Tribolium castaneum: one gene and its partner. Each later gene encodes a partner of the first gene's protein in a complex. Links are inferred from orthologs where the notes say so. Each region holds a gene or a part of one and is shown in the gene's direction. Other genes may lie near its edges. The genes, in order: TH1 and negative elongation factor A.

What was found.
Region 2: the proteins of TH1 (region 1) and negative elongation factor A are in contact, whole or in part, in a crystal structure (PDB 5L3X), measured with the Homo sapiens proteins. The link is inferred for Tribolium castaneum from reciprocal best matches to the Homo sapiens genes NELFCD and NELFA. Residues at the interface, in XP_047296144.1 of Homo sapiens: Cys204, Gln205, Gln206, Leu207, Glu208, Phe210, Ser211, Leu214, Arg215, Leu218, Ala219, Ile221, Leu222, Asp223, Gly225, Glu226, Cys241, His242, Gly243, Glu244, His245, Thr246, Tyr247, Leu248, Phe249, Ala252, Met253, Ser255, Val256, Leu257; in NP_005654.4 of Homo sapiens: Leu23, Trp24, Ala25, Leu54, Leu58, Leu61, His62, Arg65, Pro88, Trp89, Met92, Val93, Ile96, Leu97, Phe100, Gly104, Ser105, Leu106, Leu108, Leu110, Asn116, Val117, Asp119, Ile120, Leu121, Glu123, Leu124, Arg125, Lys127, Val128.

Annotation. Positions count from the first base shown.
Region 1 is NC_087394.1:30,824,371-30,839,768, reverse strand, and holds TH1 (negative elongation factor D), read left to right. Parts: upstream 1-7,323; 5' UTR 7,324-7,435; coding exon 7,436-7,492; intron 7,493-7,540; coding exon 7,541-7,981; intron 7,982-8,031; coding exon 8,032-8,181; intron 8,182-8,237; coding exon 8,238-8,368; intron 8,369-8,414; coding exon 8,415-8,602; intron 8,603-8,648; coding exon 8,649-8,901; intron 8,902-9,017; coding exon 9,018-9,228; intron 9,229-9,276; coding exon 9,277-9,417; intron 9,418-9,462; coding exon 9,463-9,592; intron 9,593-9,618; exon of another isoform or gene 9,619-9,639; coding exon 9,640-9,674; 3' UTR 9,675-9,732; downstream 9,733-15,398. Other genes in the region: Urm1 (ubiquitin-related modifier 1), read right to left, coding at 5,804-5,872, 5,922-5,970, 6,579-6,660, 6,865-6,935, 6,988-7,010; nop5 (nucleolar protein 58), read right to left, coding at 9,733-11,281, 11,334-11,410, 11,467-11,511; transcriptional protein SWT1, read left to right, coding at 11,990-12,460, 12,517-12,664, 12,713-12,868, 13,037-13,140, 13,190-13,577, 13,625-13,764; Syx7 (syntaxin-7), read left to right, coding at 14,235-14,337, 14,384-14,453, 14,503-14,750, 14,806-14,936, 14,986-15,234. UniProt on the Homo sapiens protein: Essential component of the NELF complex, a complex that negatively regulates the elongation of transcription by RNA polymerase II.
Region 2 is NC_087395.1:19,621,719-19,637,072, forward strand, and holds negative elongation factor A, read left to right. Parts: upstream 1-6,331; 5' UTR 6,332-6,375; coding exon 6,376-6,585; intron 6,586-6,717; coding exon 6,718-6,972; intron 6,973-7,023; coding exon 7,024-7,201; intron 7,202-7,251; coding exon 7,252-7,596; intron 7,597-7,644; coding exon 7,645-7,964; intron 7,965-8,026; coding exon 8,027-8,353; 3' UTR 8,354-8,561; downstream 8,562-15,354. Other genes in the region: intermembrane lipid transfer protein VPS13B, read left to right, coding at 1,926-2,217, 2,266-2,501, 2,548-3,732, 5,459-5,645, 5,697-6,265. UniProt on the Homo sapiens protein: Essential component of the NELF complex, a complex that negatively regulates the elongation of transcription by RNA polymerase II.

The DNA of each region.
Region 1 (15,398 bases):
GAAAAAATGTAAAGTTACTTTTTAACATAATTAGAATATAATTAAAGTTTATAAAAAGAAGAGACCTTTCTTCTTTAAAACTTTACTCCTGCACAAAAATCCAAGCATCCAGATTATAATATTCAAAAAATTCGTTGTTCACCCTGTGCGTATGAATTTTATATCCCATTTTTTACATAAATGATCTGTTATAAAACTTGAGTAAAATGCATCTCCGATTACTGATTACTGATTAGTGATTGTGGGAAACACAATGTCGAACCAACCAAAATAAAATAAATCAAACGAGTAGACTAGTTTATTTTATTTTATTTTGAACGAACCAACTTAGAGATGGTAATATTTAAATATTACGTTCAATTAGATTTAATTAAATTTGAAGAAAGTAAGAAAAATTTAATCAGAGTTATTTGCTCTTGGAGGATTAATTGGAAATCGACACCACTCAGACATCACAGAGTATCCTCTAACTCCTTTGTCTGCGATTGTACGAACATAAATCAATCTGAGTTATTTAAATCCTATTTCCAACCAACGTTAAAATCATTTAATGGTAAAAGTTGTAATGAACTTACTTGTTGCAGTGATTAGTTAATAACAGACAATCAAAAGTTGCATGATTGCTACGATGATTGCTTTATAAAACTGTTTTAAACGCATATTTACTATGAACTGATTCAGTTTAACCCAAGCACCTATTTTACATTAAACTGCATTTTTGTTGTTAGTTTTTTCGTCTGTTTACAAACAAACACTGAATTTTCCAGTTAAAATAGTAATAGTGATACACATAGATGGGATCATATTTTATGACAATCATATTAAATACACTTTAGAGGATTTTAGAATGGCCGGTAATGCGATCGTAAATTAATGTATAAAATTATTCATAAAAGTATTTAATTCTGAAAAATATTTTATGCATGTCGTAAAATTTTATGGCACATGTGAAAATAACAAAGTTGTTCTTACATTGTGTCGGAGAAAAAAACAGTAAGACCAAGTCCTGGTTTAGAATCGTTGATATTTTCTGAAAGTTTAGCGGAAATTATCTAGCACTAAACCGTACTTGTTTAATCCAGTAATTCTATTGTTTTAGAGTAAGCACTTGCCTGCGGCGAGAGCAGATAATAAAAAACTTCGTTTCAGTTTTTGTCCAAATGGGGCGAAATAGTGTGAAAGCTAATTGAATTGAATCGACGAAAAGGAAACGAGCAATTACTTAGGTTAGCTAATTACTGTCTTCCAGCTGAAAAGTGTATTTACTCAGAGTTCTGTTACTTTGAGAACTTTTTGCACTCTGCGCAATGTTAGGTAAATAAAACGTGCAATGCAATTTGAAAGTCCAATTCCAACACCATTTTTAACGAGAATTAAAGGCTAATTAAAATATGGACATTCATTTTTATTTAACTTTAATTTTTATCTTCTGAGCTGGTGAATATTTAAAATTATCTGTAATTAAAAAGTGGGTTTTTAGTATAATTGCTTTTAAATTTATTCGCGCATCTACAGCAGCCCATAAAGCTATTAACAGAATTAGCATTCGTCGAAGCTGAGTAGACTTGAAGTTCGTCTTAACTGAAATATATTAACTTTAACACCGCTGTAAACCCGAATAAATACAAGATTAATAACTTTTTTAATCAGTTAATAGGTGTTGTCTGAATAAAACCGGCCAATAAAATTTTAAAACAAGTTTCTTGATCATCTTCGTTAGAACCGAGCATAAAACAAGTTTAATATTCGAAGCCCAGCTACCTGGCTCTCAGCTCGCAAAGTTTTTGTTTCCGCCGGATGTACTCGTTAATTTTCAAGCGCACTCATTGTGCGTGTTCATTAAAAATTAGTGTATTATTCAAAGTTCAACTCATTGAACTTATCAAACCTTAAATAATTAAACACCTGTTTTTGCCTCAATCTTTATCATAAATAAATCTCTCCCAACACAAGAATAAACTACTACGAGATAACTTAATTATCAAACACGCGTACGGAATTTGATACGAACTAATTTTAAGGTCTTCCAAATCGAAAGCCTAAACCCCATTCACATTCCTTCTTTGTCCTCATCGCTTCTTCAGAATTCGAAAGCCAAATTAAACGATGAACCAATTACTTCTCTACAAACTTGCTGCTTTATTTTCTAAATGCATTAATTGAAAACATTCTCTGCAAATTATTAGGATGAAATGACAGATTTGCAGATAACTATGAAATTTCTTGTTTGTAATCCATTTAGAGATTGGAGCGGGTTTTATGCAGCAACTTCCAACATTCCTGTATTTAACAATTTAATTATTTATCATAATTATAGTGCCTGTTTGTAACTTTGCAGTAATTTGAAAACTTATGATACACCAAAGTTTCCACTATCCACGGTTTATGTCGCATTCCTAAGGCATTAAACTTTACAAATTTCTATATTATATTACGTCGTAAATTTTTTCCGCACACATTACGTGATTTCCCACATAATTACACAGACACATAAGCAGCTTTTAGGTCTCCATCAGACAATTTCTGAATTTATACAAAAATATGTACCAGACTTATTCAACAAAACAGTTCCTTTAGAAAGTTTCATCACTAAAATTCAGTAATACGAGTAAAAAATCAATAGCAATTTTTTATTTGAAATAATTAGTCTGCGTTTAGGAAATACTTCAATAAATAATTCAGTACTAGACATTCGTTTCGCAAACCTGAATTTGACTGGCACAAATCTTGAAATTATCAAAGCGTTACGAAGACACTTTGCACCATAAAAAATTAATAGAGGCATTTAGAGGGAAATCTCTTAGATTTTCTAGGGGAACATTTATCAAATGCTAATGTAACACTTTTGCGGGGTCGGTAAAAAATGCTAAGAACACCTTAACGGAAGCAGAAGATATATTTCGTCAACGTCTCGGGAGATGAAGGAAATAAATTTTTATAATTCGTGCTGACAAACGTTCAATAACTAGACGCTGTAAAAACTAACGTGAGTTTAGTCTGAAATCCTAACGAAGGAATAATAGCTTGTCTTAGCTGTCGTCCGCAATATGCCAGTGTCTGTCCTTTATTCCCGAAGCTTAGTCCCGATCTTTTCTCCGGCGACGATTGCACTTAGAATAACGATGCAGATAGACAATGTGTGGTCGCAGATTCGTAATAAACGGTTGACAACCATTATACAAGATGCTGTAATATCTTGTACAACTTTGTGAAGTTTCTTTTCTAGCGAGCCGAGTTCCATTATTAGTTTTGAAGGACGTGCACAGGACGGCATAGCATCCCGATATGTGGAGAAAGAAACCGAGACTCAACTGCTTCAGACAACGCGGATATTGTTTCATCTAAAAGTTCGCTCGTCTAATCCATAAGCGATTTCGACTGTCTAACTTGATAACTAATATTCAATGACTGCCCTCGAACTTGTTGAGAAAAGTTTTTACGGTCCCAAAGTCATTCAATAAAACCCTGATTATGTGTTTCTGACACCCAGCGCGATCGCCACACTTGAACTTGCCGAATTAACGAAAGCTCGACACCAACAACCACCAACAACTCATACACTTTAATAAATTGTTATTTTCGCCTTATTCCAATTAAATTTTAGCACAAATAGTTTAGACTAGTTTACAAAAATTGGTGTTAAATAGAATACTCTAACCATAACATTTAAATAAAACTTTGTTCAAGGTGTGAATTATGGTGGATGCGCCGGGCAAATATTTACCGAATTTAATTATTAAAATTCTTGCAGCAATTGCTCAAAGGATCTGATTGTTGAAATGATATTACAACATAAAAAAATTCTAAAGTAAATGTTTATTAATTTTGATACAGCATAATATTGGTTAAAGTATTAAAATTAATGAACGAAAGACTATACTTGTGTGGCTTTTGTGAATAGAGTGTGAACACGGGCGACAAAATAGGCATCTGAACGTGCTGGGGCAGTCATTGCGTAGGTGTTGACTTTAAAACTCCCCGAAGGTACTCACAATTTCAAATAAAACTGTAATTGTATGGGCAAACGACTGGTCTCTGGATAACAGTCCCTCTTTTCCAAAATTAACCCATAATCCGAACCCCACGGAAACGTAACGTGCGAGCGATATAGCACGTAAATTTTTCTCATAAACACAGGCACATTTTTGAATTGCATAAATACGAATTTGGATGAACAGGTTTAAAATAAAAAAAGCGAATAAATTGTATTAAAAGTAGGTATAATAGCCGGTGTAAATATCGACTAAAGGAGATTACAGCGGTTAAAAATGAAACACATTCAAATGATTTTCGGATTAATGTCAGTTTTATTACACAGCCGAAAGCAGAAACGTACAAATGTCGGAAAGGTAGCATCGTAAATAGCGCGAAATCAGAATTTATTCCCAATTTCGTCAATATTTGTTTGAACTGGATTCAAAAAGTGTATGGTAAGACATTACATATGTCTCGACACACCTCAGTGCTGCAGTCAACCGGGTTGAGCATCATCTACGCACAGGATCTCCATATAAACGACATCATTATCCTGCGATGGTCCTGTCCGCCTTATCCTTTACAGCGGCAAAATCATAAAACTTAACCTTAATTTAGTATATTTCTTTTAGGAAATCGTTCCCTCCTACTTATGGAAATTTAATGACCAATTTCCCCAATTTTCTCAAATAATTGCCACTTCTTTCGCCATTAAATACAACGCTCCGTGTACTTATAACAATAATGATTTTATGCGTAAAGTTTCCATCATTATGATAATTAAACTCGAACTCAATTATAATGTATCGTTAGGGAAACAAAACGGGTTTTTCGCATAATTCTCGATGGCTCATCGACTTTATGCTAATTTATCCAGACGTTGCGGGAAGTTATGCAAAGATCAGATATTCGAAATGGTTGGGACGACAATAATCCATAAGTAAAATCTACGGTAGAATCGTGAACAATGAGATAGTAAAGATTTCTTATTTCTGCTGACACTGCACTTAGATATTCAGAAAGTACCACAAAGGTAATAATATTACGTGCTCTCGGCTCTTACAATATCTGATCAGAGCGATAAATTTTAAATAAAATCATTATTTCCGAATATTGCGCTCCGCCGGTGAATAGAAAGAGGGTTAACACCACACCAACAAACTATTGTGTGATGCACTGTGTATCTTGTTATGTGATCTCTAGCGATAATTTACATATAAGGGCCACACTGGGTGTAAACTATCTGACCACATCGATTTACGAGCCTATTTACACGACGCCGCTGCTCCGATAATATTATGGAGAACTGTTAATGCCCTCACCAAAACCGCGACATAGACAACTGCTACTTTATTGTCACTCAACCAGTGGTGAATGCGGAGCGCCCAAGTAAAAGTCTACATTTTAAGCGTTTCCAAAAAAAAATTTTTCTGTTTCTAGCACAGTGTAAGCACAATAATAGTGAAATGTAAAAAAAATAGTTTCTTATTTTTTCAGTAATATATGCCTTTTCTTTAGTTTCTGGAAACTTCCTCAAGATCTTGCTTTGTCAGATTGTCATAGCATAACCAGCGGACAATAATTAAAAAAAAACTGCCCGAATTTGGCAAAAAATGCAGGTCAATACATATAATAATCTATCAATAGAAGAAAAATTCTCATTTCCTTTTAACCATGTTTTGACAAAGATAGAATTAATCGACCCAACTATCGTAAGTAAAAAAAACAAGAGGAGTCATTGGCCAAGGTGTCATGACAGTAAAGAGTGGAAGCAGAAAAACACATCATAAACAAATCTTTTATTTAAAAAAAAACAGATACAATAAAATTAACCCCCGTGTAATGTGGAAATAAACAATATCCTATCATTTTCCCGAATGACATAGTTAACAGTGTCCTAAAATGTAAATAAAGATAAAAATTTGTATTCCCTAACTGCAATTTACCATCAATTCCCAATCTGCGTCATTGATTAAGACGAGTATTCCAGGTCGCCTACAAAAAATAATAAAAGAGTGAGCGCATTTTTAAGCGCCGGAACGTAACAAGCTATACAAGAGCAACTAATCAACGCGGCGTGAGTAAATAGATGCTGAATCAATTACCTATGCGGATCATATTGCTGCATACATGCATCGAAACAAGGATAGTATTATAAAAATAGAGCAGATTTTGTAATTTCGTGGAAAAAAGGGAAATATGAAACTCGGAACAAATTCATTTGTCAACGATAGCAAAAAATGAAATACTGTATTCATCACATGGAGGGCTCAGAAGCCAATCTGTGTATTTATTTCACTTTTCGTCAAGTAACTTTTGTGGGACAGGAATCACTCATTGTTAACTTTTACAGAAGCGAGTCCTTCAATAACGATTCTGATTTTCACCTTTTTTTATAAAGTAAATTTTAAGAATGCTTATTATCCCATTTTTTTGCTAATTTGAGTTATACTGACTGGTTTCTGAATCCTGCATGTAAATAATTAAGAAAATTAAAAAAACACGTATTATTTAATCTTACTGCTCATAATTCACCAAAGAATAAAATACATTTTATAATTTAGTCTGAATTTAGCTAAAATAAATTTAGTAGGTATACTTACACAGACTCATCTTGCAAAAACAGTTCTGGTCGCTCTTTCAATAAATTATCTTTAATCCAAATAAGTAAATCCTTAATTATCCCTGCAATATAAGTTAAGCATATTAAGCAGTTAGCATAATAGCAATAAAGTATAAAAGATATCCACAAATGTGTTTCATTTCTTTAAAATAAGCTAATCAAATCAGGTGTAGTAAAAATTGATAAAATGATAAATAAAAGACTATTTGCGATAAATGCTTTGATTAAAAGTCAGTAAAAAAGTGAATTATCCTTATTATCCTTACATTCCTTGTCTTTTTCAGGTAATGTTACATCGTGACTCTTTTTGTTATCAAAAAGCAATTCAGCACCACCCCTGAAATATTAAATTATACTACAGTTTTAGCAAAAAATTAAACAATTCTCACCCAAATTGCACCGTTATGTGCATTTCGGTTTATATTACTAAAAAAATAATTACAAAAAATTACAATTTGATTCTCATAACCTTTAATTTCATAACATGTCAAGTTCTGTCAACCATGTTAGCCAATCCAGTTTATAAAATTCCCAAACAATATTGTACTGTTTTATTAATTTATTATTTGGTGAATAAAGTCAACTAATTCAATTTTGGACCTTTGAATGTGTCCCGGATTTAATAAAATTGTACCATGAAATTCTAGTTACGGAAAATTTGGGAATTGCTTTATAATTTTCAAATCTTTGTGGGTCAAAGCCGCCAACGTACACTTCGCGAAATAACTACTAGTTGGTAGTAACGTCAAATTTCGAAGGTTATGTTATGTTTAAGGACGCGACTTTTTTATTGTTTTAATTTATATAACTGCCCCAGTTATATGTAATTAACTTGCAATGGATGAAGAATACGACGAGAGAAATTGGGATACCGTTGATCGACTCGATAATGACGTGAGCATTTATTGAAATCTTGAATCTTTCAACAACTCGTATTTTTAGTCAGATGCGGGCGATGAAACGGAAAACCCTGAGCAGGTCCTTAAGGAATGCGCGGAGAAATTTTCGACCTCAGACTACATAATGGAACCGGGAATTTTCTCCCAGCTGAAACGGTATTTCCAGTCTGGAGGAAACCCCTTGCAAGTGATTGAAGAATTATCACAGAACTACACCGCCGTAGCCCAGATGGCTAACTTGATAGCAGAATGGCTAATCACAGGTGGAGTCAATGTAACTTCGGTTCAAGCAATGGTGGAGAACCACTTAAAAGAGATGATTTTGAAAACATTTGATCCCAAAAAAGCTGACACGATTTTCACAGAAGAGGGTGAGACGCCAGCTTGGCTGACACAGCTAATTGAACATCCCACGTGGCGGTCACTGATTTATAGATTAGCTGAGGAGTATCCAGACTGCTTAATGTTAAATTTCACAATTAAGGTTCGTAAAAATTGCCTTAAGTGTAACATGAGTAAATGTGGTAATTGCAGCTTATTTCCGACGCCGGTTTCCAAGCTGAAATCACAAGCATTTCAACGGCAGCTCAACAGTTGGAAGTCTTCTCTAGAGTACTCAAAACTTCAATTGCTAGTTTTTTGACCAATCCAGAAGACTGGCAAAATACCAGCAAGGAGTGTGCAGTAAATTATGCAATTTAACACTTGAATTCACTAAGAAAAAAAATCTATTTTTCTAGAAAATGGTGTGCCACGGCCAGCACACATACGTTTACAGTCAAGTGATTATCCACGTGTTAGCTCGAGAATCCAAGGGTGGCAGTAGCATGAAGCGACTGTCTCAAGAAATCACGAAATGCGCCCAAAAAAAGTATAATTTTTTCTAGTAAACACAAAAATTATTTATCCATTTTCAGTGGCCATGACGTAACTCCAATCACAATGGCGTTAAACGGCGCCTCTGCATACCCTCTGGCCTGCCAGGCCTTGACATCAATGCTTTCAAAAAATACACTTAATCCAGCCGACATTACAGTTCTGTACAGAAATTACAACGCTCCAGACCCTCCTCCCATTGATTTAATCAGAACTCCGCAATTTCTGGGTTTGTTTTTTAACGATTCTGAATATATGGTAATTCACAATTTCAGAATTATTGATTGATGCCTTGTTTAAACCTGGAGTAAAACTCAACCCCGACCACAAGCCCAAATATATCCATTTGTTAGCTTATGCAGCAAGTGTCTATGAAATGCAAGCCAAAAAAGGGCAAAAAAGAGTGGTCAATAAAGATGAACTTCAAGCGACTATTCATTCAATTGAAACGGTCCACAATATTTGTAATACCAATAAAGGGAGTTCAGAGCTAATGGCAGAACTTGCAACGCTGTATCAGTGTCTCAGGTAAGTTTCTAAGATGATATTTTAATAAAAACTGAATAAATTTTGTAAATAAAATGTCGGTAAATCACCATTATCAAAAACATTGTCAACTAAGAAACTTATATTTATTTTTTTAGGTATCCAGTCGTTTCTGTTGGAATTATCCGTTGGGTTGAGTGCACTGTTACCGAAGCAAGTTACTTTAAATTGTCAACAGAACACACTCCAATTCATTTGGCGCTCTTGGATGAAGTAGTTACTTGTCACCCTCTTCTCCATAATCAAGTACTCGACTTACTAATCAGGTTGTTTGAATCCAAGCAAGACGAACTGGAAATTTTAGTCCAAGTAAGTTATCAATTTTTTTACGATATTTTTCAGTTTTTTTTTTGTTAGCTTGAAATGCGCAAAATGGTCCTTGACAGAATGGTAAATTTGCTATGTGCTGGATGTGTGGTACCCGTTGTAAAGTACATAAAACAGTGTTGGCAAAAAGGCGACACGGACATATCCCTGATTCGTTACTTTGTAACGGAAGTAAGTTACTTTGTTAAAAATGACCGGAAAATGCAATTTTTGTAGGTTTTGGAGACCATCGGGCCCCCTTATAGCTCCGAATTCGTCCACTTATTTATGCCAATGGTTGAAAATGACGAAATTACGGGAACAATGAGAGGAGATGGGGAGAACGACCCCGTGTCTGAATTTATCGGTGAGTGGGAAAACGTGGTAAATCAATTTCTTATTGTTTGTTTTTAGTCTATTGCAAAGCAAATTACACCGCTGTTGTATAACAGCACCTTAATAATAAGAATGTCTATTATTGTAAAAAATAAAAAACCTTCCGCTAAATTATTCATCTTCCTTGGAAATGCTCTTCTTCTTCTTTTTCTTTTTTCCACTTGTTGGCTCTTCAACAACTTCAGGCGGAGCTTCGCTCTCGGACTTCTTCTTCTTCTTTTTCTTCCCAGGCGTCACCTCAGGTTCTTCCTTAACTTCCGCTTCCACCTCTTCCTCCGCTTCCTCTTTCGCCTTCTTCTTCTTCTTTTTCTTCTTCTGGCCCTCACCACTGTCCTCATCCTCCTCCTTGATACTGTCATTGGTCTCATCCGTCTTGACCTTTTTCTTCTTCTGCTTGGGAGTCTCCTGAGTCGTGTTCAACTCCTCCTTCACTTGCTCCGACTCTGACCTCTTCCTCTTCGAAGTCGAAGGTAACGTCGAGTCGGCAGCAGCAGGATACTGCTGAACTTCCGAAACCCCTTGATATTTCTCAAACTTGGCCTTGGCTTTCGCCGTCCCGCTAATTCTCCTCAAATTCCCCTCTTCCAAAATTCTAAGACGTGCTTCCAACTTGGCTTTGTGCTCCGCCCCAAGCGTGAAATTCCCGTCTTCGCCTAGAGCATCGACTCGAGTTGCGAGGGCTGCTTTAGCCGCCAACATTCGAGACATTTTCCCCTTGTTTTTGGTGCTACTTTGCCCCACTAACTGGGCGTGGTAGATCAACCCGTACTTCGGGGTGTCTTTCTTGGTCTTGAGGGCTCGGAATAGCGCCTTCTCAGCCCCCAAAATCTGCACCGTGGAGGCCGGATGTTTGGCCAAGTTTATCAAAGACCCAGCGTGCGAAATCAAACGAGCGCCCACCAAATCCCCAACCAACGTTGTCAGGTTTGGGGCCATCGCCATCATACGGGCCTTCAAATAGTCGTACAACTGGGTGCGATAATTGGAAATTTCTACAACTTGGTCGCACAAGTTCTGAATGTTTAAAATATCGTCGTCGGATATCTCAGTACCCATTGATATTTCAGCTGCCTCCTTGACTTTCTCCTCAATTTCTTCGGGGAGAATGTCGGAGAGGTCAGAACTGGCGGTGTTATCACGCGTTCCGATGATTTTAACAGTTTTGACGAACGCAACGTTATCAGTGATTATTTTCCCAAGCTCGGGAAAGTGCCAACCGTACCATTCGCGGCACCTCATTATGTAGTTGTTGAGTTCTTTATCGAGGTCATCAAGCAACGAAACCGCTTGGACTATCATTGTATCAATTTTATCAGGCGAGAATTTTAACTTGTACCGTGATAAGGAATGAGCTAAACCTAACGCCATCGCGGTCATTTCCTTCTTAGGTAACCCCGTTATCAAACTGTCCAATTGCGACCGAATGCACCGCATCAGCTCCTGGACAGCTGTATTCGAAACGCATTGTAAATTGAACTTCTCTTTAATGGCAGACCCTAACTTGGCGTCGGCCACAAGCAGCTTGTCCTGCAATTCTTGGTCGATGTGCTTCTTCAGCACCTTCTTCAAGCTTTTCGAGACTTTGCCCTCGACGGCTGCAGTCGTGGCAGCCAGGGCTTCAGTGGTATCATTGAACTTCTCGAAATGTTTCAGCTTCACACTAAAACAATTTTACTAATAAGTTTGCATTTTGAAACTAGGACAGGTCGTACATTTTTCCTGCCGACTCGGGTGAATCAAATTCATGGTACAAATTGTTAACTTCTTTTAATTTGCTTTCATCCAGAAGCTGAAAGCATGGAAAATTTGAGGTTAAGTTTGTCAACAACTTTACTGCAGAATTACCTTAAACAGCGCGTAACCTGCCGCTGTCTCAAATAAGACCAACATTTTTCACTTTGTATTACAACAATTTATATGAAAACCCACCAATTTTTAATATTAACGATAAAAACCGGCAACAATTAGAAACCATGAGGTCTAGCGCGTCGGCGAGATTGTCGACTCGCACGAATTCCCCAAGAATTACCAACTCTTGGTTCTTTCCCCCACGTGCCTTTCCAATGTAAATCTAAATAAAGCAGATTTAAGATTATTTGACACCAGTTTACAAAAACCCAAGTTCTTTTTAGTATGTGTGGGAGTTGTAATTAGTAACTGGCGTTAACTGGTTACTTGTAAAAAAGTTTCAGTTTCACCTACATTCGGTTAAGTCGATCTTAACAACAGGTCGAATTCGGGTGCATTGTACATATCACGTGATCAAGTTAAGATGGCGTTTTGTTGTTGTTGTCAGCTGATTTGCGAGAAAACAGAAAATTGTTATTTGAAAATGAATTAAAAGAAGTTTTTTTTGCTAAAAATTAAAATGTCAGACAAACGAAAAGTCCTCGTAGCCAAACGAAAAAATGAGAGGAATCCTAAAATTTTTCCGGAAAAAATTGTTCAAGAGGATAGTCATTTAAAACATGGAACGAAACGTACCATTAGTGTTACGCCGAAAAAGAACATAGCTAATGAAAGGTTAAAGAGGCTTAGGACTAGCTTAAATGAAGAAGTTTCAAAATCTGCTCAATCTGTACCAAAATTTAAAGACAAGAATTGTGTGCGGAAACGACCAACTGATTCAGTGCAACATGAAGTGTCTACAAAACTGTTTATTAAGGAAAGTGCCTCGAGTTCAGGGGAATGTTCGAACAGTGAACCTGGAACTCCTTTCATTTTTAAAGAAGAGTTTCTAACACAAACGAATGTGTTTACCACTGAATCTCCAAATCCATTTGCTGTTGGCTTTCAACAGACAGCAGTTGTTTCAGAAGAGGATATGGAATGGTGTCCTGTATACTCTCTTGATTTAATTATTCAGTTTAATATTCTAGTTAATTGTCTTTTTAGACTGATATTGAGGAGTCCAAAAGCACAAGTGATAATACTTTAAATTCACAAATTACGAGTTCTTGTCAGTTTTATATTGTGGTTGACACGAATATATTCTTATCAGAGCTGAATATAATTGCTAACATTGTTACATTAGCTGTTAAAGGTAAAGAAATGTGTAACAATGGATAAATATTTATCACACTTGTTATAGGACCCAGGGAGCCAGTCATTTTCATTCCCTGGATTGTTACAGAAGAGTTAGACTTTATAAAGGGCGATTCAAACAAACGTAGCCTCAGACAGAAAGCTCAAGATGCCATCAAGTTAATAGAAAAAACTATGAGTAGTAAACATAATAGAATGAAAGGTATACTGAAACAATGTTTCACGTAGAAGTGTTTGCATTTTTTTATTATGACCATTGAACTTTATTTTTATTCTTTAACATGAGTCGCTCTAGTAAACAAAAAATTCACGGTACTTTTTTCATTGGATAAGGAAGCAGTGACAAAAGTAATAGCAATTATTTTTTCAGGGCAGACACTAATGGAAGCTAATGAACAGGAAAGTGTAGGTGCAAATCAAGATAACAAAATAATTGCTTGCTGTATGCAAGTTTTAGAAAAATATGAAAATATGGTAACACAATAATCCACATCGAATTATTTTGGGTGACTTAATTTTTTAGGTTCTCCTCACAAATGACATTAATTTAAAAAACAAAGCCCATTTCAATAAAATTCCCGTATGCTCATCTAAAGAAATAATGTTTAAAATACAAAAAATGCAGAATAATATTCCGCTTTCTCAAGAAATAATGCCAAAAACGCAGAATAAATCAGCGACTATTTTAAATATCATGACATGTTTATGTAATACTGTAATTCGTGAATGCGCTAAAAATGCCTATGGAGAAGCCTGTAACAGAATGCCAATATGTCAGCCATCATCAAAGACTTTAACTGAATGCATCGCTACATTTACAAAATACTGGTTTCCTGTGTTTCAAGAAGTAGTAATGAAACAGTGTAAGAATGCCATAGAAGATCTTTCAGCCTTTCTATCACAGCACACAAGTAGGCTATATTTTACCAAATTCCTATTAATGATTTTAATTTTTTAGCTATAAATGATACCTCAAAAGAATTAAATGACCTCATAAGACTTTGTCTAAGAGTTTGTCTATTTTTGAAGGACGTCGAGTGCTGTAAAATTATGACCGAGAATACGATACGGGATTTAAACAGTCTTAAAAATTCTTAGCGTTTTCTGCAAAATCTTTCTTTAAAATTATATAAAAATTTGTTTAACTATTATCTCCACGGTGTAATCCGTTCAGGAATAAACTATTGTATTATGTTTGTTAAAAAAATGTTTTATTTGAAATTCTACCAATTTTATGTTAATAAAAAAATTGATCGTTACTTTTTGAGGATACCTCGTATAGCTTTGGAAATTTATTTCCGTAATGTTTACATTCTTGTCTGTCAATGAGATTTTAATTTTTTGACATCTGTCAAATAATAAAAGCAGTGACTCACAATCTCAAGTGTTATTGATTAAAAGTGCAAATAAAATAACAATTATTACTTTCCGATTAACAATACGATATTTTATTTGATGTTTTAGGTAAGACATGGAACGTTTTATGCTTTCTTTGCCTTAGTCCAAGCAAACAAATCATAATGATAAAAGTGTTTGATTTTACAGAAGAGATTAATAAACAATAAAATATGGATAGTTTTTCGTACCAAAACGGGGGGCAGAACAGAGAGCAGGATTTCCAAAAGTTGGCTCAAACCATTGGCACTAGCATACAGAAAATATCGCAAAATGGTAACTTTTTCCTTCATTTGATCACTGTATTAAGTGGCTTTTACAGTTTCGTCAATGCAACGCATGGTAAACCAGATAGGCACTCACCAAGACTCACCTGATTTGAGAAAACAGCTGTACGTACTAAAACATTATTCATTGATTTTTTTACTGAAGTTTTTGCAGCCATTCCATTCAGCACTACACCCAACAGCTTGTAAAGGACACCAATGGTTACATTAAGGACCTTAACGCCATATCCCCGTCCCAATCCCAGTCTGAGCAACGGCAGCGTAAAATGCAAAGAGAACGTCTTCAGGATGAGTTTACTTCAACCCTGAACATGTTCCAAGCTGCTCAGAGAAGCACAGCGCAGAAGGAAAAAGAACAAGTCAATAAAGCCAAAGCCCAAGCTTATGGCGAACCATTCCTCAGTAAGTTCATTATTGAAGGAAGCAGTGGCTTATTCTATCACACATTAAACTTTAGGTAGCTATAAAAAAGACGAACAATTGATCGAGTTACAAGACAGTAGTGCGGCAAAAGAGCAGGTGCAACTTCAAGAAGAATCAGAGTTACGAGCCCTCCAAGAGCAGGAACAGTCCATTAGACAGTTAGAAGTATGTGCTTTTATCTCAAAAAAATAGATAACTGTACAATTTGTTCTAGAGTGATATTAACGATGTCAATCAAATTTTCAAAGAGTTGGGTGCTCTTGTCCACGAACAAGGCGAAGTTATCGACAGCATTGAAGCAAATGTGGAGAGAACTAGCGATTTTGTGAGAGAAGGTGCCCAGCAGTTACACCAGGCTAGCACTTACAAAAATAAAATTAGGAGAAAGAAGATGATTCTTGGTATTATTGGTGCTGTTATCTTAACTATCATTATTATAATTATTATTTGGAAAACTAGTTAATTGCAAATGGTATTGGATCTATCACGAAATGTATATTATATGTATATCTAAATGTACTAAATCCAGCTGTACGAAGTCTATTTTTGCTGTACATTTTTACCACAGTTTAAATTCAGTGCCAAGGTCATTCTATTTAAACTGTTACGATATTAACTCATTTATTT
Region 2 (15,354 bases), on another chromosome or scaffold:
AGGTAAATGTCTGCTATTTAGTAGCCAAGAGATGGTCCACGACTTTTGGATCAGCTTGTAACATTAATTTTTGCTTACAAAAAGGATATTTTCTTTGTTGGTAAAACATAATAATAGGCTTAAAAAAAGCAATTTAGAGATATAGAGGAAAGTGAGACAATACAATGATAGTTAAAGTTAGTAGTTATAGTTAAATGCTCGTTGAATTTATAGAAAACTAAATGTATTAAAGCTATTCGTATACATTTAATTCCAAAGTAAACATTAGGTACTAAAACCCAGTTTGATTCGGGCCAAGTGAATTCAGTAGTATCTTCGACAAAGTGATGCAAAATGTTTACCTTATTTTATTATTCATTAATCTTTTTAATGATGGGATACTTATTTATGGTTATTTTTGCAAATTTTAACCCAAATTTTCTCATTAACCAATGTAAAAAATTTTATCTGGTTTTTATCGTAGATCATATTTGTTTATTATAACTTTAATAAGTCGAGTTCAAAGAAATTTGAATTTATTCCTCTACGTCTATGTCTCAAAAACTAACAACATTCGGACTAGACTTCTTTTGACTTCTTCATGTTACTATAAAACTTTTAAAACGACATTGTTTGCATAAACACTCTAAATTTTCTGCCGTCTGGGCTGTTTTCCAGTTAAAATAGCTTTTGTTTAAACGCAAATTGCTTTTTTTGCGAACATATCTCAGTTTTTTTAACAGCCTACCTAATTATATAAAAACTTTTTGGTCAGAATTATCTTGGGTATTTTTCAGTAAAGTATTCTATAGGCGGAAACTTCAATATTTTCCAATAGTAACACATAATCAGTAGTTTTTTTTGAGAGACGGTTTACAGAATTTTGAACTAAAATAAAATTTTAATTTAGAATTAAAGCTTCAATACGCTGTATAATAATATTTAATAATTAAAGCAGGGTGTAACTTTTTTTAACTTTAATGGAAACGTTGATTATCACAATTAATTAAGCTCAAGAGTCAAATAATAAAGTTTCGAACGGTAATATTCAATTAGAATACATTATTTCCCACAATTTTCTCTAGTTTATCAATCACAAAGAAGAAAAACCGACTACTCTAATTTCAAATTTAAATGATCGCATGGCATTAAAACATAAACAATAGATCAGTTGCTTTTTATTGGTAATTAAAGTTACATATTTGATAAAACAACGTAAGATTTTAAACTGGACAAATTAATGCAAAATAAAGATTAAACGCCAAGTAAATTCAATAAGAAGAAAAATGATTTAGGCAACCATTAAAGGTAGTGTGGCAAAAAATTTAATATTTAATAATTATTAATAAATAATTCCTATATTAATATTAATTATTAATAATAATTAATCAATAATTATTTATTTAATATATATATGATGAAATAAACAAAGTTTAAAAAAAAACCCGACACACCAAACCTTTATTTAAAAACACTACGCGTTTCAAAACCACAAAGTGGTCATCCTCAGGTGAGAATATAAACTCAGTTTATATTTTTTATATTTGTTTTTTTTTTAAACTTTGTTTATTTAACCGAAGAAGAATTTGCAAGTGTTAGAGATGAAGATTGGGTGAAACGAATTGCTCAATATTTTAATATTTGAAATATGTCAATAGAAAATGAAAAAAGCTTTTTAATAAAAGATTTTAAAATTGGACCAACTGATGTTTTTTTGGGCCCTTAACGGACCTCGAAAAAAATGCATAAATGTCACGTCGCCGTCGGTGAAGAAAATATAATTTTTAAATGTCGTGTTGGGGCTTCTTGTATTTACTTTATTATATTTCGTAATTGTCACACTTTTCTTGTTAAGCAGATTATTATCTGTATACAATTTTTATTTTTATCATTCCATCACATTTATGAAACGAAATAATCCCTAAAATAATGAATTTTTGACACAGATCCCTCTCGTGTTGACTTCTCAAGAACGCAAAGGCCAGATTTACCTTTCATTATTCCACGACGATTCCCCTCAGACCCTCATCGAAAATAAAAGTTCCGTAAATTTGTATTGCGGCCAAGCGATCGGCGAAGGCGGAGCCGCAATACCAGAATCGAGACATTTCAAATGGTTCTCAAAACTCGAGTGTGGCTCCAGCGTCTACTACACAATGCCTTTCGTTTCGGAAAAATTCCCCGAATTACCCCAGACCTGCTTCAGCGAGAAAATAGTATTCGCAATAGGACCCAAAAGTAACGACACATTTTTATTGAAAATTGAAACTAAAAAAATTTTTTAAGCCGAAAGCGATCATTTCGAGTGGTCAAGTGCCGTCAGCATAGTCAACGATTCGGAACAATTCGTCAAAATACCGAACTTTGGCGACGTCAAATTGGTGGTTAAAGTCACGTCTTACACCACCTTGTTGTCCATTGAGTCGGTAAGTGGAGTCGAAATCAACGCGATTGACATCAGGGGGCGCTTGTCGCGGCATGAAATGGAGACAGTGCTCGGAAAATATGATAATCGGCACAAAGTACGGTCTTTTTGAATCGCTTCATTTATAAATAGCAATTTTCCAGGATATTGTCGCTGATAATAATTTCCAAAATGCGGCAAAAATTCTCCCAAAATTATCGCTCTACCAGTCATTGTTCAAACCAACCTTGCAGAATAACTGGGATTCGATCGAAGTTTTCGCATTCGTTAAATCCTTCAGTCTTGTGTTTCTCGCAGATCATGGCAATGATTCGGAAAAAGAAGGAGTTGCGAGTTTTAGTTTTGACGATGTGGGCGTTGAGCTTCGTCAAAGTGACGATTTGAAAGTTTCACTTTCTGTATTAGACATCCAGTTCGATAATGAGTTATATTCGAAGGAATCGTTCGATTTTCCTGTGGTCGTAGTAAGCCAGGACCAAAAACCGAAAAGTGGTGCCAACGTTTTGGAAAAAAATGCGAAAGAACTGATCAGGAACACCGACAGTGTGTTGATTTTGGATATGGTGGTGGAGACTTGGTTTGATGATTTGCGCAAGAAAAACGTGACTGGAGTGAAAGAAGTGAAGGTGAAATTAAATTCGCTTTCGATCTACGTCGAGGATTTGTACATCAATAAACTGATGGAATATTTCACCCAATTGTTTCCGATGCGACTGGCCGTGGGCGCAAAACCAGAGTCCCGCACAACGTCCAAAAGCGTCTCAGTTAGAGTCCCCGAGTTGGTTTTTTGGAACTCTTTAGTAATCGCCAAACCGTTGAGTCTCAAAACCATCACAGTGGAGCCCTTGTCGCTGCTTTTATCCGTCCATTGCTCCCTCAAAATGTACATAGCCCTGGACCAGTCCCCTCTCCAGTTTGCCCGGTTTGAAAGACGCCGCCTGTTGACAACCCCCTATCGATTGGGGCATGCAATGACCATGCACTACCTCTCGGGGGCCATTTTTGGGGCTGGTTGGGTCGTCAGTTCGCTCGAACTGCTTGGGAGTCCCAGTGGACTTGCGCGAGCGATGGGTATAGGGCTTCGCGACTTTATCAATTTGCCTTATCGGGGGCTTATACAGGGCCCTTGGGCTTTTCTAACTGGTGTGACTCATGGCTCGGCCTCTCTTATGAAACACGTGACAGCTGGGACGCTGCAATCTGTGACGAAGTTGGCGTCGAGTGTTGCAAGGAATTTGGATAGATTGACTCTGGATGAGGAGCATTTGAGACGGACGGAGGAACAGAGGAGGCAGAAACCACAAGGGGTGACGCAAGGATTTATGCAGGTATTTTCTTTAGTTAGTCTTCAGGGGAGGCCCAAATTTTTGGCATTAAATAAATGAGTATGGAATCCTGATGCAAAAAGCGTTACAATGGTGAAAAAATTTTATTACCGAAATATATGTTATTGTACACTACTAAACATTTAAATTTGAAATAATACCAAGATTATAATTAAGTTCGGTATAACATACTGCCTCCTAGTGCCTTCATGTAGCATTCGACATAGGTGATTAATAAAATTGTTATGTTCAATAATGAATTAAATGCAAAATAAGTGAAAATGAAGCTATTTTTTTCTTTACGAGGATACATAAATTAATAATTTGAAAAAAAATATATTAAAAAAAAACAGAAATTTTACAAGGTTTTGATTTTGTCACTATTTTTTAATGTTTTAATTTCTTTCAAATTAACGGGTTTATCTCCGTAAAGAAAAATTGTTTCCATTTTTTATTTTGCATTTAAGTGATTTTTTATCATACCCGAGATCGTAACTTTTTTTCCTTACCTCTGTCGAAAGTCAATTTAAGGAAGTACCATTGTACCAGGACTATTAGGAACTTAGTCAAAATAATTAATTGGTATTAGTACTACTTCAAATTTAAATGTTTAGCAGTGTAAAATTACGCAATATCTTGGTAATAAAAATTTTTATTAGAATTTTTTTTCAGTATTCGTTATTATATATACTGTTCTATAAAAGTAAAGGATATCTAATCTAATCACACATCAGTAAATATGCATCTGCCTTTTTTATATCTTCATTCTTTTTATTAGGTTTCAATGCTCGAAAAGTATTGTTTAGTATTTGTTTGTTTTTAAAATAATTAGACTTCTTTAACTGTGGTGGAACAAATGTGTACACTATCATTCCCTAAGTTATCTATGCGTATAAGTTAAGAACCTGTATTGAGATAAATATTATTTACAGTCTTCTAGAAGCTTAATTTTCTCGATTTTTTCGTAATATTTACTTTTTATTTTCTTATTTGTTTATTGTGAGCCTGTAACTATTTATTTCAAGAATTTTTTCGAAATGGTCAAAAAATTACGTTCTTTTAACTAATTCGTAAATAATAGTAGGTATACCAGTACGAAAAGTTGAACAGTGCTAGTCTACATACAGTGCTGGGCAAAAGTATGGATAAAACAAGCGTTTTTGCATGAATACAAAAAATAATTTGTATTATTAAGACTGTTAAAAATGTGATCATTTGTGAAGAATATTTTTTTTATAAATTCCTTTTAATTTTACCGATACCGTTTATGAGTTATGCAAAATTTAATTGTTTTAAATGGAAGTCTACTGCGACCATTTTTTGGTTAAAGATTACTAATTCAATAGTATTGTTTAAACAAGTTATTATTTTAATAAATTATTAAAGTTGCGTTCTGAGCTCATCATCAGTACATCACTCATTCATCAGTCTTTACCGAAGAGGTTGTTTTATTTATTCTCACCTTGTTGGGTGCACAAATAGTGGATATTACCATTCCATTGTAATAGACTAATGGAATACAGTTTAAAATAGATCAAAGAATGTCTTGTTACAGAAAGCTTTTTAGAAATTTTAAATTTCATTTCAAAATTTTATATTTTTTACCATTTTGCACAGGTTTTAAATAAGTAATTATGTAATTACTTAATAAGTTATCAATTCTTATTTGATGTATGTGACTAACTGATTACTGAGCTGGTTACAACCTATTACAAAAAAATTCTGTTAGGGCTTGACGGGACTCGGTATCAGTCTTTTGGGGGCTGTTGGAGGCATCGCCCACCACCCGCTTCAGAGCATAATGGCCGATGGGGCATCACCCAGGTCACTCGCAGCGGGTGTCGGATTAGGGCTAGTGGGAGTCTTAACTAAGCCTTTGAGTGGAGCTGCCGAACTGGTGGCGTTGACTGGTCAAGGTATAATAATCGTAAATTTACAAAACTGACTTAAAAAAATTAAAATTGTAGGATTATTGCAAGGGGCCGGGTGGAATCCCCTACCGCAACCTAGGAGTGACCTGGTCAAAAACCTGAATCTGTTAGATTCAAATTCAATGTTAAAATACGAATGGAAGTTACTAAGCTCGCTGACTTATAAAAATGTGCTTTTTGCGACTGAAGCAACGATGTTTAACGATTCTGAGTTCAAAGGAATTGGGTTGGTTTTGGCACCCGATGCTTTGATTATTGTGAATCTTGATGATGATAATGTGAAACGGATAATTAGTTTGGGGCAAATTCAAGTCGTTGCGAGTGATAACGACCCGACTTATCTATCCTTCAGGATTATGAAACAAAAGTGTGAGGAGGAGTGTGTGGTCGAAATGGACCCAGCGTCGAGGGCTCGAGTCGCCGATTATGTAAGAAGTACGGCAAGTTTGTTACAACTACCCGAAGTTAATCAACATTCCGTAATCATGGACGATACCAACGAACAGATTAATTGTTATGTGAATCCGCAAAATCGGAATTATTTCGTTTGCCTGCTAACACTAGCCAAACAAATGAACAGCAATTATAATTTTCCTGTGTTATAAACTGTTAATAAAAGTATGAAACTAAATGAGTGTTTAAATTTCCCGCTGTATTGTTGTAGTGCTTTGAGTGCTAGTCAGCTGGTTGTTGGCAGCACCGTTCCAAACGCAAAATGGCGAATGTGCGTGACAGCGATACGTCTTTATGGTTACACAATAAACTCGGAATTTCGAACGATTCCTGGACGGGGGGCTCAATATGCTCGCAATTGAACGCCGAAGTGTTACGCAACATCAAAGACTGTTTTCCCGATCTTCAAACCCAAGTGAAATTAAAGCTTTTGTTGAGTTTTTTTCACATCCCGCGCAGGAACCTCGAAGAAGTATGTTTACAAATAAAAGCCCCCACGGTTTCCACTTGTCGTTATTAACCCCTTGGTTGCGCCCCTTTTAACTTTGTCGTCTAATAAAGTTGTTTGAGGTTATGGCGTACTCACTTGCTACTTTGTTTTTAGTGGAAGTTAGAGCTGGAGCAAATCCTCGATGTGGCCGTCGCCGATTCGGAATTGTGGGTCGCGATGTTAGCTGAGGCTTTAAAAACGTACCCTTCAACGGGGTCCCTAAACACAGAAATTTCCGACTTGGACGAAGTGAGACCCATTTTCACCGATTTAGTTACAGATCTTCGGAAACTGGTTCGCAAACAAGCTGAGAATGTTATGCTACCCATGGAGTGCCACTATTTAAACAAATCAGCCCTTGTCTCTGTCGTAAGTCTCTGACATGTGTCACTTGTCACAATCACAACTTTTTTTTGTCAGGTTGGCCATAAACCAGAGCCTACTAAACACTTCACCATCAAAAAGAAACAAAAATCGGCAATTTTACGAGCAGATTTATTACAAAAATCTTCAGATGCGGCCTCAAATCTCAAAAAATCATCAGCTCCGGTCATTCCAGTGCGCTCGAGAGGCATGCCGCGCAAAATGACCGATACAAGTATGCATGATCGTTGTTTATTTGACAGTTGGTAGCATTATTTCTTGTAGCACCCCTGAAAGGAATCCCGAGTAGAGTCCCGACATCGGGCTTCCGCTCCGGTGCATTAAACAACAATATAAACAATCGGCCCCCATTGGCCCGCCCTCCAGCCGGACGCAAAGAAGGCGGAGTCAAACTCTTGGACATAGCCGATCAACCACTTGGCTACGCTGCGGCTAAAAAACGAAAGAAGATGCAAGAAATTGAAGACGCGAAGAAAAACACCGAAAATGCTGCCTTGCAAAGCCCCCCACCTGTTTCAGGCACGACCACCACTCCCGATTATGCAGCCGGTTTAAGCTCCACCCCAGCCTACGCGCCGCCCACGCCACAGCCCATCCTCGCACCAACCAGTAATTATTCGAATTTGAAGTTTGTTGTTCCTATTAATTTTTTTCCAGCAGCGTCTTCCATTTTAACAACTGCGGTAACAGCACCGGTAACTACGGTTACGACAGCGCAGGTGGCAACGCCGACCGTGAAACTGGCAACAGTGGCGGCGACACAGTTGCCAACTATGCGGCCTGTACCACCCCTATTGGCAACAACGCCAAGTGGGCAGAGGACGATTTTGACCGACCAATCGGTGAAGGCTGTCGGCCAAGTGTCAAATATTGCGATTGCGCAGAGGACGACTCAGGCCACGCCCACTGTGACGCATATCAGGATCCAGCCACAGACGACGTCGAATGCTTTGCAGAGGCGGGGCTTAGCATTAACGGTGGGTTTTTGATTACGAGTATATGTTAAAAAATTCTATTTTTTGTTTTTTTTTTTCACCAGAGGGAGCAAATGTTGGAAGCTCAGGATATGTTCCGAACTGCGAACAAAGTGACAAGGCCCGAGAAGGCGTTGATTTTGGGTTTTATGGCAGGGTCAAGGGATAATCCCTGTCCTCATTTGGGGAATATTGTCACTATTAAGTTGTCAGAGGATCAGGAAAATGTGTTGCAACCTGACGATACTTACCTGACTATGGTCGCAGAGACTCATTTCCAGATGAATTATAATAATGGAGAGTGGAAGAGAATCAAAAAGTACAAACATATTGATAATGTTGTTAATCAGATGCCACAAAATACACCAGCTCCTGCTGTTATTGGGAATTAAGAAAATTTTTTTGTTATTTATTTAACATAGGAATTGTTTTTTATTATGCTTCGTAAGAAAGAAATATTTATTTACGATTTTTAAAGTTTAAAAAAATCGAATGTAACGTTATGTTAGGTAAACAGTTTGATAAACTGAACGTTAAGTTTGTTGTACATATTTTGTAAATATTCTAATTTGTAAATAACTGAATAAAAAGCTACGCGCATGTTTACTTTTTTTTAATCGTTTGGAAAACGAACGAAATACAATGAAACCAACCCAAATCCCAAAATTTTGTAACATAAAAAAACTACAGGGTGATTCAAGTGTGTCGAGTCATCTCATGGATAAACGGCATCCAAAGTTCGTATGACAAAAACTTGTTTAATTTTTTTCTTTAGTAATCACACCATAGTCATCGTTTGCTATTAAATACTTTATTTTTCTCTTTATGTGATTTTTTGAAAATTTTTCTACAATTCCTTACAATTAAAATTAATTAATACTGTGTTGCTAAAAAAAAATTGGACATTCTGAAACATCCGCTTGAGTGTTTTGTGCAAGAATTGCGCAAAAGAAAAAAGCGCACAAGATAATGCTCACACAGAAAAAAGCTCACGGAAAAAACTCACATAGAAATAATCGCACTTAAAAGATACCTCATATGGAAACAACTCCAGACAGAAAAACAGTCCACACAGAATAACACCCACAAAGAAAAAAACTCACAAGAAAAAAGCTCACGCTAAAATTAACTCACTGGAAAAGAAATCTCTGTACCTAATCGTGGATAGATTTATAAATTTATAATTATTCGGATAACAATAAAAATATTTTATAATTTGAGAATCAGTTTTTGTTACTATTCAAGGAAAAAGTAAATTAACATATTCAAAAGTGTAACTATTCAATTTTTTTTTAGACAAAGAAACTTAATTTTATGTTGTAATTTTTTTGTTTTACTTATAAATTAAATTTTTTTTTAAATTGATTTCAGCTTTTCGGCGTATAGCTTAAACGGTACCTAAACCTATACTGAGTGATCTCTCCGCATTTGTCATTTTTTGCCATAATTTGTTGAAATCTTATTCACGCAAATTATAAATACCTATCAACAAATTATCCCGTAAGTTAGGGAATGATTTAGCAAAAATTTGAAGTTGAATGGGAAATAGGAAAACGCATCGTAAAGTAAAGTACATCAGAGTTTTTTCAAAAAATTGTTTTGGACCTAAATTTTAAGAACCGCTGAACCAGAATGATAAAAATTAGCTTGTTATTTCGCTAAAAAGGCCTTAAATTAAAAAAAAATTCGATAAAGGTACCTCGAGAGCGTTAAATGATAAAACGTTTACAACTGCATCACCCCGCAAATATTACAATCGACTCATTTGAAACGGTTTAGTTTTTTTTTTTTTCAAAATAACTAAGTTTTCGAGAAAATTGCTGCGATATTCGAATTGCTATACCCGGCTATAGCAAACACAAATACTTTTCTAACAATGATCATTTTAACAGAATTTAGATAATTGATGCAATCTCTATACGAAAGCGGAAACAAAAAAAAATGTTCATAACAATAACTGATAAAATTATCCCTCTTCTTTACGATTTCTGCAGGTCTTGGAGTGTTGAAAACCGCAACCTATATTATCAAAAGTGCACAAAAAGATGCCATAAAATGATTTTTTTAATCAGTTATGGAAGTGGAATAGGACAAACAAATAGTTTATTTACGAATAGGAACTAGTGGGCTTTCAAAAGAACGTGAGTTTTTATCCGTGTGGGCTTTTTTTGGTGTAGGTTTCCTTTCATGTGGGGTTTTTTCTTTGTGGGAATTATTCTGTATGAGCTTTTTTCGTGTGGGCTTTTTTCCATATGAGGTTTTTTCGACGTGGACTTTTTTCTTTGTGGGCATTTTTCTGTGTGAATTTTTTTCTTTGCGGGTTTTTATGTTTGTGGGCTTTTTTGGGAGCTTTTTTCTTGTGCGCATTTTTCGTGTGGGCTTTTTTCTGGTCAGCGGCGAAGGAGTATAGAATTGGAAAATTAGTTAATAATTATTATAATTGTTACAAATTTTGTGTGTAACGAAAAAAATTAATTTTACGATGTAATAAAACTCATCAAGTACCTACAACAACTTTATAACATTTTGTAAAATTCTTATTTGTTATTTTCACTATTTTTTTCCTTTCTCGTGTGTAAACGAGACGGTCAGTGTTTAATAATTAGTTTGTATTCATAGCAACAATCTTTATTGTTGTTTAAAATTGTTTAAATTGTCCGTTTCTATCACAACGAAAATAGCTCGGTACTTTTATTTTTGTACACAATTAAATTAAAAATAAAAATTAATTATGGAGCTCTGCTAGCTGTTAACTGTTAAAATTATCACACATATTTCTGATACACCTGTAAACTTGTAGCTCGTCCAGTTGTTTCAAATTTTTAAAAACATTAAAAAAAATCGCTTTCGGTAAAACCAGGAAAAAAGACTTCATATTCCTGAAAAAAATCCAACTTTTAAACTAATAACAGCTATTCTTCCACTTCAAATCCACACAACACCACAAGAAACCTCCATTTTCTCATTTGAAGTTGCGTCACAAACCGTCGGTTGGTCTCCCATGGGGACACACAAGCATAATTACATTCCGTGTAAAACCTAAATTTTCCATTAAGATGGATTTTCCATTTTAGCGCCAATAAATTTGAAGGTTGTCGTAAGCCGTTTACTTATTTTTTCGGTAATTTATTAACGCGATAAAAATGTAAACAGTGTCGACTTTAATGTGCACGGGAACAAAACATAAATGGAATATGTGTCTCTGGGGACGGCATTGTTTGGTGTAGACGCAACAAACTGCATTCCCAGATAAAGCACACTCGTCCCGGAGAAAACTAAAAAATAAATGAAACGAGAGTAAAAAGTGTGAAATGGGGAACAAAAAGCAGCTCGATGACCCGTTTTGATATTTACGTAACAAATTATCCCGATGCTAAAAGCGAAATGATATTTCGGGCTGTTATGGCAAAAAATATTCGGGTTGTTCGGAGTTGGGAGTGTTTTTAGCGACAAAGTTTGAAATTGTGATATTCGTTTCAGCGGAAAAAATGATAATAGTTTTATTAGTTTTACTTTGGTACAAGTTCCTTAATTGTTTCTTAACTTTTCTTTAATAAAAACGAAATTTTCAACATCAATCGCAAGCACAAATTGTACAGGGTGTTCCGTCCCAACCCCACATTAGAAGTATTTGGAGTTCTAGTAATGACAGTCATCTGAAAATTTGTATTGTATACAACCATAATCTTTTGGGTTCTGTTCAATGTAAATACAACATGGCGACATTTCCGGTTATACCGGAAGTCGCTTTCAGCTTCCTTATTTTGAATGGAAAGCTATATTTTTAATGCGTTTTTGGATTACTAGAATTATTTTAAGATAGTTTACATAAGCATTTCCTATAATTTTGCCGTTTACGAAATATTTAGAGTTTTCAATTTTTTTTTCGGATTTGCACCTTTAAGTTCAAAAATCGATAACTCCGCCATTTTTTGAAGTTTTAAAATATTTTTCAACTCATTTGAAAGAGAAAGTCTAGATCTTTCTCTTGGTGCTTTCAAATTTCTAAAAAAGATAACAAACCCCAAATTTTTAGAGTTAAGCTTGTAGAACTTTAAGCACCCATAACTAACAAGTGTGGCCTATGTGTGGCAATTGTCACAAAAAACGTATGTCTGGTTAACATTACAAAACAATGACAGATGACAGCTGTCAGTACCGTCAGTGTCAGACCAAAGATGCGGCCAAAAATTCACACGTTCAATTGAGCTTGCAGAGTAAATTCTTGAACGTCTGCATCATGATTTGCAATGTGATTTTTATCAAAAACTTCTAAATGCAAAAATAAGACAACATTGAAACAGTTGACAGCAAACCATATGAACTTATCGCGCAACCTACGTTCATGCTAGAAAGAGAAAACCACAGCAAACCACGACCAAAACAATTATTGAACACTTGTTATTATTTTTTTAAAATAAAATGCCACAAGGAAACGACAGAAAAAATGTGAGAAATCAAAGTTTTTCAAGCCAACATTCAATGAATATTCATTTTGTTTTTCCTGTTTTTTAAATTTTGAATAGAATTTGTCGTTTGTCGTTGATTTAATCAGAAATGTTTTTTTTTGGCAAACTATGCAAAAATAGCTGTGGTTAGTAAGGAATTTCCTATACAGGGTGTTTCACACAACTTAACGAGTCCTGCGCTTAAGGCACGCTCCCTAATATACAAAAGTTACAAAACATTAGATGCAAAAAAAATACACATTTAATGATTTAATTTTTAGAAATGCATGACAGACTTGACAAACTAATGACAGTTAACTGGTAATAGTCATAAATTGCTGTTTTTTAGAAACAATTTTTATGTGTTCTAACTTAATCAAAATCACTAACTAAACACACAAACTAACTAAAAATGTTGCAATTTTTTGAAGGGGTGAACAAACTAGAAAAAACTATCCAATTTTTTAAAATTTTTAATCGAGTACGAGGCCTTGTAAAATTACTTGAAACACCTTGTACCATAATAAAAAAAACAACATAACATGAAAATTATAACAGACAGGAATAGGGAATGCTAATACAGATAGATACAGAAAACAATCCTCCAACTAATAAAATAAAAATTGGGCCCATTTGAAAAAATTAAGTTATGAGTACTTGAAGTTATCCAAACTGAATTTTAAAAGTTTTGGATGTATTTTTTTCCAATTTTGAACACACTAAAGAACAGATATGAGTTTTCTCTTTTAATTCTTTAAATATGATTTCGAAATCTTTAAAACTAGGAGCTACCGATTTTTTCAAAATTTTTCAAAAAATCCTAAATATCTCAAAAACGGTTAAACGGTTAAACTCCCTTAAAATAACTTAACTAATCCAAAAACGCAGTGAAAAACGAAGCTTTCCATTTAAAATGAGAACTTTCATTGAACAGAACTTATGACAGATTATGGCTGAGTACTAACTTTCAGATTAGAACCTTTAATACTTTCAATGTGAGGTTTAGATGGAACAACCTGTATATTCTCAAACCACAAGTGCAAAGGGGTCAAACTAGCTCAGACTCTTCCCACACGATTTTTAATTAATCCTCCCACACAGTCTGGTGATAAGCGCAAAACTAGAGTCGATTTCTCATCATTACAATCTCTTCCTTTTATCTGAACTTCTGGATTTAAAATACGGCGTCTTCAATCAAGCGGAAATAATTTATCGATCGTCACAATTCTATTAACTCAATAACACCCTCTAAAGTTTACAATTAAGCCACGTGTAATTTATTACAGGGGGTGTTTCGGTGATAAATCGCAAGGACTTAATTGCGAATTTTTGTAGGTGTATAAGGGGTACATTTCCGCTGAGAAGTCACATATTGCAGATTTCTCAGGTCTGCGGCTTGGCGAAATTTACAGATCCCAGATATGGTGTAGTCTAGACGCACCAAGTGTTTTCATAAAGTTTGGCTTTGCGCCCTTATTCGACGTAAATATCGCTACAAATTCCGGAATTTCGGAGTAAAAAATTAGTTTGTAAATCTAACGTTCGGAGTTTGAAGGGGAAAGTTTGATAGTATTCCGGCACCTCCGCCATAAAGTCCGTTCGATCGGAGCAGCATCCACCCACGTCAGAAATTATTTATTCGCAATTCCGTGGCTATGTTTATTTTTATTTTATACACAATTGCTCAAAATAAGGATGGTGTTTGTGTTCGCCCACACTGTTGGTCGATGTTCCTGTAATAAAAGCTAAATCTCCCGTTATTTCGTTTAAAAACACTGATGCTCCAGTGGCGAACAACGTCACGTAACCACTTTGCTCGTCTCAAATTTCAACTCGAACATCTCCTCCATCTGCAAATATGTATGTGTGGAAATAACAATCGTAATGCATGGGGTTGAAGCGAGAACGTTTTATGTTCTATTGTTGCACTAGGATTTGCCCTATTTCTATTTAAGTGCACTTCGGAATGGGGAAAATCCATGCGAGGGTTGTGGAGGATGCACACGTGGATAATTTTCCGAGATTTGGGGCATTAGATAAACGGGGTCTAAGCGGAAAAAGAAAATGAAACCAACTTTAAACTAATTGATATTTCTGCTTGCTGGAAAACCAGATTTCATCACAGATATACTGCGTGTTGGCGAAGTTGAGGCGTTCTTAAAAGTTTTAGTTTGTAATAGGCTCACTATTACAATGATAACAATCTTACAGATTTAATGCCGTTGTATGGGCAATGCTATCAGAATGCAGCTGAGGAATTCAGAGAGTACTTAGAGTAAAAAATAATAAAAAATAAAAGTAACATTATTAAAAATCTAGTATCCACAATAATGAAGTCGATTATTTTGAAACAGCAGTTAGGCAGGACCGGACTCAAAATTTTAAAAAACCTAAAAATTATCTCTGTTATTAAAAACATTTTATTAAGACGATTTAGGCTAAAACTCTTAAGAATAAGTAAAACAGAATCGATTTATTTTTATTTTTAACAAAATGGCAGTCAATTTACATTGTAACATTACTTTTATCTCCAGGGCCGTCTCTAGCCTTACAGCTGCCGGGTTGCAAAGTTCTGAGTGCCGCCCCTGTCATTTTTTTTTACAAAAATTACAGCTTCTTATTTTCAGTTTTCTATATCAGTACTGTATTCATTCAAAAAAGACATTTTAGCACAGATATTACTACTAACTTCTTGGAGATTCAGCTAGAGGATTTTTGTATATTTAAAAAAAAAATTAATAAAATAATGTATCCCCTAATTTATAACATATTATTTTAGAGAGTAAAAAAGTATTTGCTAAACTTTTTGTATCATTTATCCAAATCTAAATTAAAATAAATAAGTCATCAGGCATTATACATTTTTTCTAAATTGAATAAAAGATTTTTTGCAACAACAATTCTGCGTACCCATGGTTTATTTGAAAGAGGTTTTAAAGTTTGTA